Ovis aries: one gene and its partner. The protein of the gene in region 1 interacts with the protein of each later gene in a pairwise test. Links are inferred from orthologs where the notes say so. Each region holds a gene or a part of one and is shown in the gene's direction. Other genes may lie near its edges.

Region 1 (3,939 bases):
GTGCCTGCCCTCTGGCTCTCCAGCCTCCCTGCAAGTTTGCTGAGGCCCTGGGCACTTTCCCTGAGGATCTCTGTTACCCTTGAAACCAGAGGCAGGGGAGAGGTGGTTGGGGTCCCCACCATTCCCTGGCCTTTTGCTCCATGCAGCACACGCAGTCCCAGGGCCATCCAGGGGTCCTCAGCTTCCTTCTGTGCGGCCAGAACCTGGGGTGGGGCAGCTGAGGGTGACTGGTGAGCCAAGAGGCAGCTCCCTTCCTGGGCCTGCATCTGCGGCACTCAGTGGTGAAGCAGGTGAGGCTTAGGTAACCTGCCACCCCTCAGGGGACCAGCAAGGCTCTGGCCAGGATCGGCCTGGTGGGTGCGGGGTCGACAGTTCTGTGGGTGATGGGTTGTGTCCCTGCAGGAGTGGGGGCTCCTGGAGCCGTCCCAGAAGGAGCTGAACTGGGATGCGATGCTGGAGAAGTACGGCACGGTGGTGTCCCTGGGTGAGGCCCCCTCTCCTTCTCTGGGCCCTTGGGCGCACCTTGCCTCCCAGCGCTTCCCAAGGGCCCCCCGTCCCCTTATTCGTGCGAACCCCTCACCTGATGGGCCCCCTACCTCAAGCAGGGTTGACGCACCCCCTGCCTGAGTCGCGCACCGAGTTGCAGCCGGAGGGGCTGAGCTCCGGATCCGGATCCGAGGGTCGGAGAAGCCTCCGCCCAGGTGAGTGACCTCTCAAGGTCCCTTGGTGGGGGTAGGCGTGCAGGTGCGGGTAGGGCAGGGGCGGGGGTGGAGGATGGGGGCGGGCGGGGCGCCCAGGCGGCCCCGGCTGGACAGTGCTGGGTCCCCAGGTGACCTGGCCTCCTCTGCTCCCCAGGAGATGAGAGCGAGGGCCGGCCCGGCGGCCCCGAGGCCCCGCCGCCGCCGCCGCCGCCGCCGAGGAGCAAGCCCTACACGTGCACTCAGTGTGGCGGGGCCTTCGACTGGAAGTCGGTGTTCGTCATCCACCGCCGCGCGCATGCCGGCGGCCCGTGCGCAGAGAAGCCGCCGGCCGGCCCGCCCCCGCGCGCGCTCCCGGGCCCACGCGGCTACGCCTGTGAGGAGTGCGGCCACAGCTTCAGCTGGAAGTCGCAGCTGGTTATCCATCGCAAGGGCCACGCCAGCCAGCGGCGCCACCTCTGCGCCGACTGCGGCCACAGCTTCGACTGGAAGTCCCAGCTGGTCATCCACCGCAAGAGCCACCGGCCCGAGGCCCCTTGAGTGCAGGAAGGGTGGCCTCCCCATCCCTGCGCCGGTACGGCCTGGAGACCTGGAGGCCGCCCAGGACCCTGGAGCAGGTCAGAGTCCCAGGGGATCCCCCGGCCCCCCTCAGTCTCCCCCCGGAGCCAATGCTCCCCGTCTCCTGCCTCCCCCACCGCAGCTTTCTGAGAGGCTTGGGCTCCAGGCCTCCGCCAGCCCAGTGCCGCCAGGGGACTTGCAAGCTCCCACCGGTGACCTAGTGCAGGCTCCCCCGACCTCTGGGACCACTTGGCTTGGTGACCAGGCCTCTCCCACTCCTCCTGCAGAAGCTGGGCCCGAGGTCTGAGTGTGGACGGGCCAGGAAGCCCAGGAGAGCATGGCCCGCTTCTGTCTGCAGCCAGCTGCAAAGCTGACGTTTAGCCACTGTGCGTTTTAGAGTTTTAACAGATTCTAGTTTTAAACTGGAGACATTTCTGCAGAAGAATCCTGGTGTCTAGTCTCTGCTGGTTGGATCAGAGCACCTGCCCTCCCGCCCAGCCCCTAGAGCTGCCGAGCACCTGACCCCCGAGCGGGACCAGCGTCCAGCCCACCTGCTCCTTGGCCGCACACCCCACTGCTGGCTTTGTTGTCCCTGCCTGAGTGGACGTGAAGGGAACGTCTCTCCAAGGATTTCTGGACAAGGATGGGCTCTGAGAACAGATGTCACTTAGGCCTGTAGGCCGGCGGCTCAGGGCTGTGTCCCCACAGCCTGCACAGTGGGTCACCCCCGGCGGCCTGTTTGGGTCGTGGGCAGTCGTTCAGGTCTTGGCCAGCGTCCTGTGGTGCTTTGCTACTGCTGCGATGGCTGGAGACAACACGTGTACCCTCTTGGGACTCTGGATTGCGTCTCCCTGGGCCCAGTCACGGTGTCAGCAGGACTGGCTCCTCCCGAAGTCTCTAAGGGGGAACCCACTGCAAGAGCTTTTCTGGCTTGTGGAGGCCACTGCGCCCCTGGGTTTGTGACCCTTCGCTCCATCGGCAATGCTCGCCGTGGATGGTGCGGTCCCACACTGCCTACTTGTCAGGCCCTCGGGGCTGCGTCCAGAGTCCCCAGTAACCGTGGTGATCCTCGTCTCAGGACCACACAGCTTCCCCATCCACCCACCCTGCTGCTCTCATCTGCACAAGCCCTTTGCGTGTGAGGTGACATTCACAGCTCCAGGTGTTAGGACGTGGACGTCTTGGGGGCTGTTAACTCGGTGCACTTCGGGGCTCCATTCTGCTCTAAAACAAGCATTTTGTGGGAGGTGATTTCAGGGAAACAGATGCGCCCAAGGATTGAGCCCCCTGCAGACTCGGGCACATGCAGGGGTTGCAGGAGGGTGTTGAGTGCTGCAGTAACCATCGTTACTGGGCAAGGTGGAGGACACCTGGATGGGGGTGGGGGGCTTACTGCAGCCTGAAACCGGGAGGGAGAAGCCTTCACCCCAGGGACCCACCTCCTCCATGCCCAGCCTTCTGGGGCCTTTGAGCTGTTGCCCATACTCAGGCCTGGGGAAGCACGGCCAGGCTGAAGGTGGAACTGAGCACCGGGGATCTTGTTACCGCATCCAGGCTTGTATCGTTCACTGCATGACAGGCTGATGAACTGAGAGCCTGAGTGGTTAGGGCAAGGAGTTGCGCCTGTATTCAAAAAGCCAGCAAACTGAGACGATAGGAGACTTGTGCCCCAAAGAACCGTCTCGTCTGTGTTAAAATCCAGGCTGCTCTTACACTGAAAGGGGATAGAGTCAGGTGAGACATTTCCTGGTTCAGAGGGGATGTGTTCATTTCCTCCTCCCTGTAGACATTCACAGGTAGGTGTGGTCAGGAGGTCTCCTGTGAGCTAAATGAAGGAATTCTAGCTTAAATGCTCACTACCTGTGAGTCAGGGCTCCCAGAGTTGGGCTATTATGTATAATTTAAGCTTAGAAGCAGCATTCCTCTAGTGACTGACTCAGGTGACAGAATTCAAAGGTTCTTCCTCATTATAACACAGTCTGGCTGGCAGCCAGAGGTGAGGTCTGTGCTGGGGTCACAGAGGAAGGTGCCAGGGCAGGGCCCAGTCACACACAGATGGTGAGGGGCGGGTGGGGGTGGATGGGCAGCATTCTTGGGAGAGTTTCCTTATTTGAAAGTAGTTTCTGCTCACTTAGAAAAGTCTGAAATATACCAGAGGACAAAGAAGGTCACGAAAACGGTCACTGATGCCGCTGTTTTTCTCGTGTTCACACAGGGTGGGGTTTTACAGCGGGAGAGGCCCCTGCGCGTTGTTCTGAGCCGCGCCCTTCCCGCCCACCTCCCTGCGCTGCTAAAAATGGGACGTGTCATGATGCCTAGGTGGAGATTCCACTTCCCGGGTTTCTGCCAGGCCCTGACGGTTCCTTGTCCGCCTCCCTCGCGGCTCCCGGTGCCATGAGGACACACCTGAGCAGACCCTCTGGGAGCAACCTGCGTGTTTCCTCAAACAGACTCCCGCAGAGTGGGAGTGGCGAGTTTTCTCGAGCGTCAGATTTCTGTTCATGTTATTTTCTTTTTCTTCTTGTTTTAAGAAACAAAACAGATTACAGTTCTGAGGTCAGGAGGCAGGCATAGGTCCTGCAGGCCTGCTTTCCTTCTCTGGTCTCTGGGAGAACCATCGCTACACTTTTCCACCCTAGAGGCGGCCTGTGTGTCGCGCTCACCGCCCTTCCCCAAACCTAGG
Region 2 (3,500 bases), on another chromosome or scaffold:
TATACTTATCTGGGAAGTCCTAGCTCACTCTGCAGAAGCAGCCAATGATCAAGACTTCTAGGTGGGACCTAGACCATCTTTGCAGGATGCTTTTTTCATGTAACAGTACACCTTGGAGGACTTCCTACTCAGGACAAATAAGCTCTTATTTTTTTCTAATACTGGTGATTATGCCTTATAGGATATTCTGCAGCATACATAAACAGTCTTCTGTTGAGAATAAATTTAACTGTCATCACCAGTGCTGCAGCAGAGGAGCTCATATAGACCTCCTGCTGCACATGTGCAGAATAAACTCTAGAACTGGGATCTCTGCATTACATTGATCATCTGCGGACATTCTGCATTTGCCTGCTTGGGGTTGTAGATATGCAGCCTCTCCAGCACTGTGTAGGAAGACCTGTCCTACACATCCTTGGCCGCCCTGTGAGGTATCCACTGTTTGGATTCTGCCAAACCATATACATCTAAGGGTGGATATCAGGCTAGAATTGGGGAGACTGTGAGCTCTGGAGCAGCCTCTCTGCTTTGTCTTTATCCCAGCTGTATATGTTGCTAGGGGCTCTGCCTCAGACTCATCTTCCTTCCCACATCCTTCCCCTAGCTTGTGCCTGGATTGAGGTGTACTTGTTCTGTGGTTTCAGAACCGGGTTTCTCCTTTCAAGGATATGATCTTCTGCTTCTCAGAAGAGGACTGGTCCCTTCTAGACCCTGCCCAGACTGGCTTCTACGGAGAGTTCATCATTGGAGAAGACTGTGGGGTCTCACTGCCTCCAAGTAAGACTTCACTCAGCTCTCTCCTGAGACCTGGGACCTGGGGGTCCACATATCACCTCACTGTCCACCCCCATACCCTAATGGGAGGCACCTGTGCACAGTGGTGTCAAGGCCACTCTGCAGATTAACCATTGCTTGGTGCTATCACATGAAAGTTAGGCTTGTTACCTGACTGTTTTACATACACAACCAAATATAACTTGTATCCCTTGCATTTACTCTTCTTCTATCATTCTTATTCTGACTCTTTTCATTGCTGGTTTTCTGATAGGACTGAAAGAGTTATCCCAAGCCCACAACTTCCCCTTTAGTGTCCCCTCCCCTGCCCTCTCCCTGCTTGCTCTGGTCCTTCCACTTCCCCTGCATGGCCCCTGTTGGTGTTCTTGGTGTGTTGTGTTTCCCTCCAACTTCTCTCTCCTCTACCTGTCTCAGAGTCACCACTGTCCTCCCACCCTGGTTTCCTGTGGGAGCAGAGGCCTGATGAATGCATATCCTTCCCTTTTCTGTGAATAGACGATGCGGCTGCCCAGCTGGATCTCTCCCAGGGAGAAGAGAATGAGCCACGTGTTCCAGAGTTGCAGGACTTCCAGGGGAAGGACATGTCCCAGGTCTCCTACTTGGGTGAGGAATGATACCAGAACTCAGTGGAAGGAAAGGCTGCTGCCAGCCAGAGGCAGGCCTGTTCCTTCTTCCACTCTCTGAGCCCTCTGTCACCCCTGGACCATGTCTTGGTAGAATGAATCCTGCCTCATCCCTCATTCCTTATGGAAAGAATGTGGTATTTCAATTTTCCCAGGTGTGGGGATTGCCTTTTTTCAACCAGGAACTAGGATATAATAGGAATATCTTTCTCCTCCGCTGTAAGTAACACCTGGCTTGTGGTAACAACGCAATTACCCCTTTGTAAGTGAGGTCAGATACTCTCCAAAAGTCAGGTGGGAGAAGAGGAGGGCATGCCACCTCTTGGCTGGGCACTGGGCGCAGTGCCTCTGGATGCCTCACCTGTCTTCTTCCAGCCACATACTGCAGGAAGTATAAGGAAACTGAGGCTTGGGGAGGTGCTGGGGTTTGGTTGACATGCCACAGCTTAAAAGCAGCATTTCCCACCCGCCTACCCCCACCCCCAGCCTTCCATGTCACCAGAGCTTATGTTTGTAACCACTGTGCTTTAATGCCGTAAGATGCCTGCTTCTTCAGGGGAAAAGCTTTGTACCATGCCAGCAGTACTCCCAGGCCTCCTTTCTCTTGGGACTTTGAGCTGGCACCCAGCAGATTCCACTCGCCACCCCCACCTGGAGCAAGCAGCCAGGGCCTCTGGTATGCCCAGTTTCCCATCCCATCTCTGCCCCAGCAGACTGTCCAGACTGTGTTCATGCAGTGTCTGCGTGAGTACTGGAAATCCCACCATAGAAAGTGAAAGGGACAGCATGGATGGCAGTTCTTGTCCACAGTCAAGCGGATGGGGCAGAACCCAGATCCACGTTCATGCTGTCTAGCTTCACAGCCCATGTTCATGGTGTTGGCCCATTTTGCCTGCATATTCATTTGCTCATCACACATTAATTTACTGAGTGACTGCCCTGAGAGAGAGCCCAGGCCTGCTCTTGGATCATAGCCTGGCATCTCTTAAGAACCCTCTTCCAGGTAGTGCTGCAGCAGCAGGAAAAATGAATTTTTCATTTTCTTCTCTGGAAAGACTTTCCAAGTCTCCAGCCATTCCAGGTAGAAGAAAGAAGAAAGCGGGATGAGCTGCAGGTGCCAGAGTTCCAGACAAGCCAGCAGACAGCGCTCCCTCAAAGCACCTGCCCAGGTAAAGGAATTCTTAGGAGGGTGTGGGGGTGGGTGCATCTGTGTGTGATGTGTGGCTTGAGTATGTATGTGTGCAGTATGTGAGTGCATGTAGCATGGGGGTATGATGTGTACATGTGCATCTGTGTGTGTGTGTGCATGAATGTGGTAATGGCGTGTATGCTGTATGTGTGTGTCGTATGTTTGGTGTATTGTGTGTGGATGTGTACATGTGTAGGGTGTATGGCATGTGTTGTACGCATGTGAGCATGCCTGCTGGCAGTTATGTATGGTACCTATATGTTTATATAATGTCTGCTGTGTTGTGTGTGTGGAATTATGCATGTGGTATATGTGCATGCGTGTGTGCTGTATACGTATATACGTCTGTGTTGGTGGTGGGGGGGGTGATGTAGGTTCAGGAATTGAACTTTCTGAAATTTCTGCTGACAGTTCCTGAGAGTTCCTGAGGCTGCTCGCCCTAGTTTTGTTTTTCTAGGATCTTTTCCAGCTGACTCCCAATCTGAGGCCCTCCCCTCCATGCCTTTCTCTTGAGGGTTGGTTGAGGCAGGGTGCTGACATAGTGCTTTTGGACACATGGTCTGTGTATTTCGTCTCTGAGCATAAAGACCAGAGTCCCTGGACAGTGTTGCAATTAAAGAACAGGTTAGCAGAACGCTAAAAGGAGGACCACTGGAGAGTGTGCCCGGCAACATTTAGACTCTGAGTCTCCAGTCCTCACTTAAATCCACTGTGTCACAGAGGGTTTTTTGCAAATACAGTGACTCATGCACAGTTTGATACCTTTTGGAGGCAAGATTTGCGTGATATTCTGGTATTTCCACCTAGTATCATGCAGAGTTCACAGTCATTTGTATTCACCCCGTATCCTGTGTAGACTAAAGGAATTTTCTGTTTTTGTAAATCTACAGCAG

Evidence for each region.
Region 2: the proteins of ZNF446 (region 1) and ZNF496 interact in binary tests that used the Homo sapiens proteins (3 or more experiments, as listed by UniProt). The two-hybrid records come from large-scale screens. The link is inferred for Ovis aries from reciprocal best matches to the Homo sapiens genes ZNF446 and ZNF496.

The regions. Positions count from the first base shown.
Region 1 is NC_056067.1:66,377,356-66,381,294, forward strand, and holds the end of ZNF446 (zinc finger protein 446), read left to right. Parts: intron 1-402; coding exon 403-484; intron 485-605; coding exon 606-701; intron 702-855; coding exon 856-1,238; 3' UTR 1,239-3,439; downstream 3,440-3,939. UniProt on the Homo sapiens protein: May be involved in transcriptional regulation.
Region 2 is NC_056058.1:38,331,988-38,335,487, reverse strand, and holds part of ZNF496 (zinc finger protein 496), read left to right. Parts: intron 1-644; coding exon 645-777; intron 778-1,290; coding exon 1,291-1,398; intron 1,399-2,473; coding exon 2,474-2,587; intron 2,588-3,500. UniProt on the Homo sapiens protein: DNA-binding transcription factor that can both act as an activator and a repressor.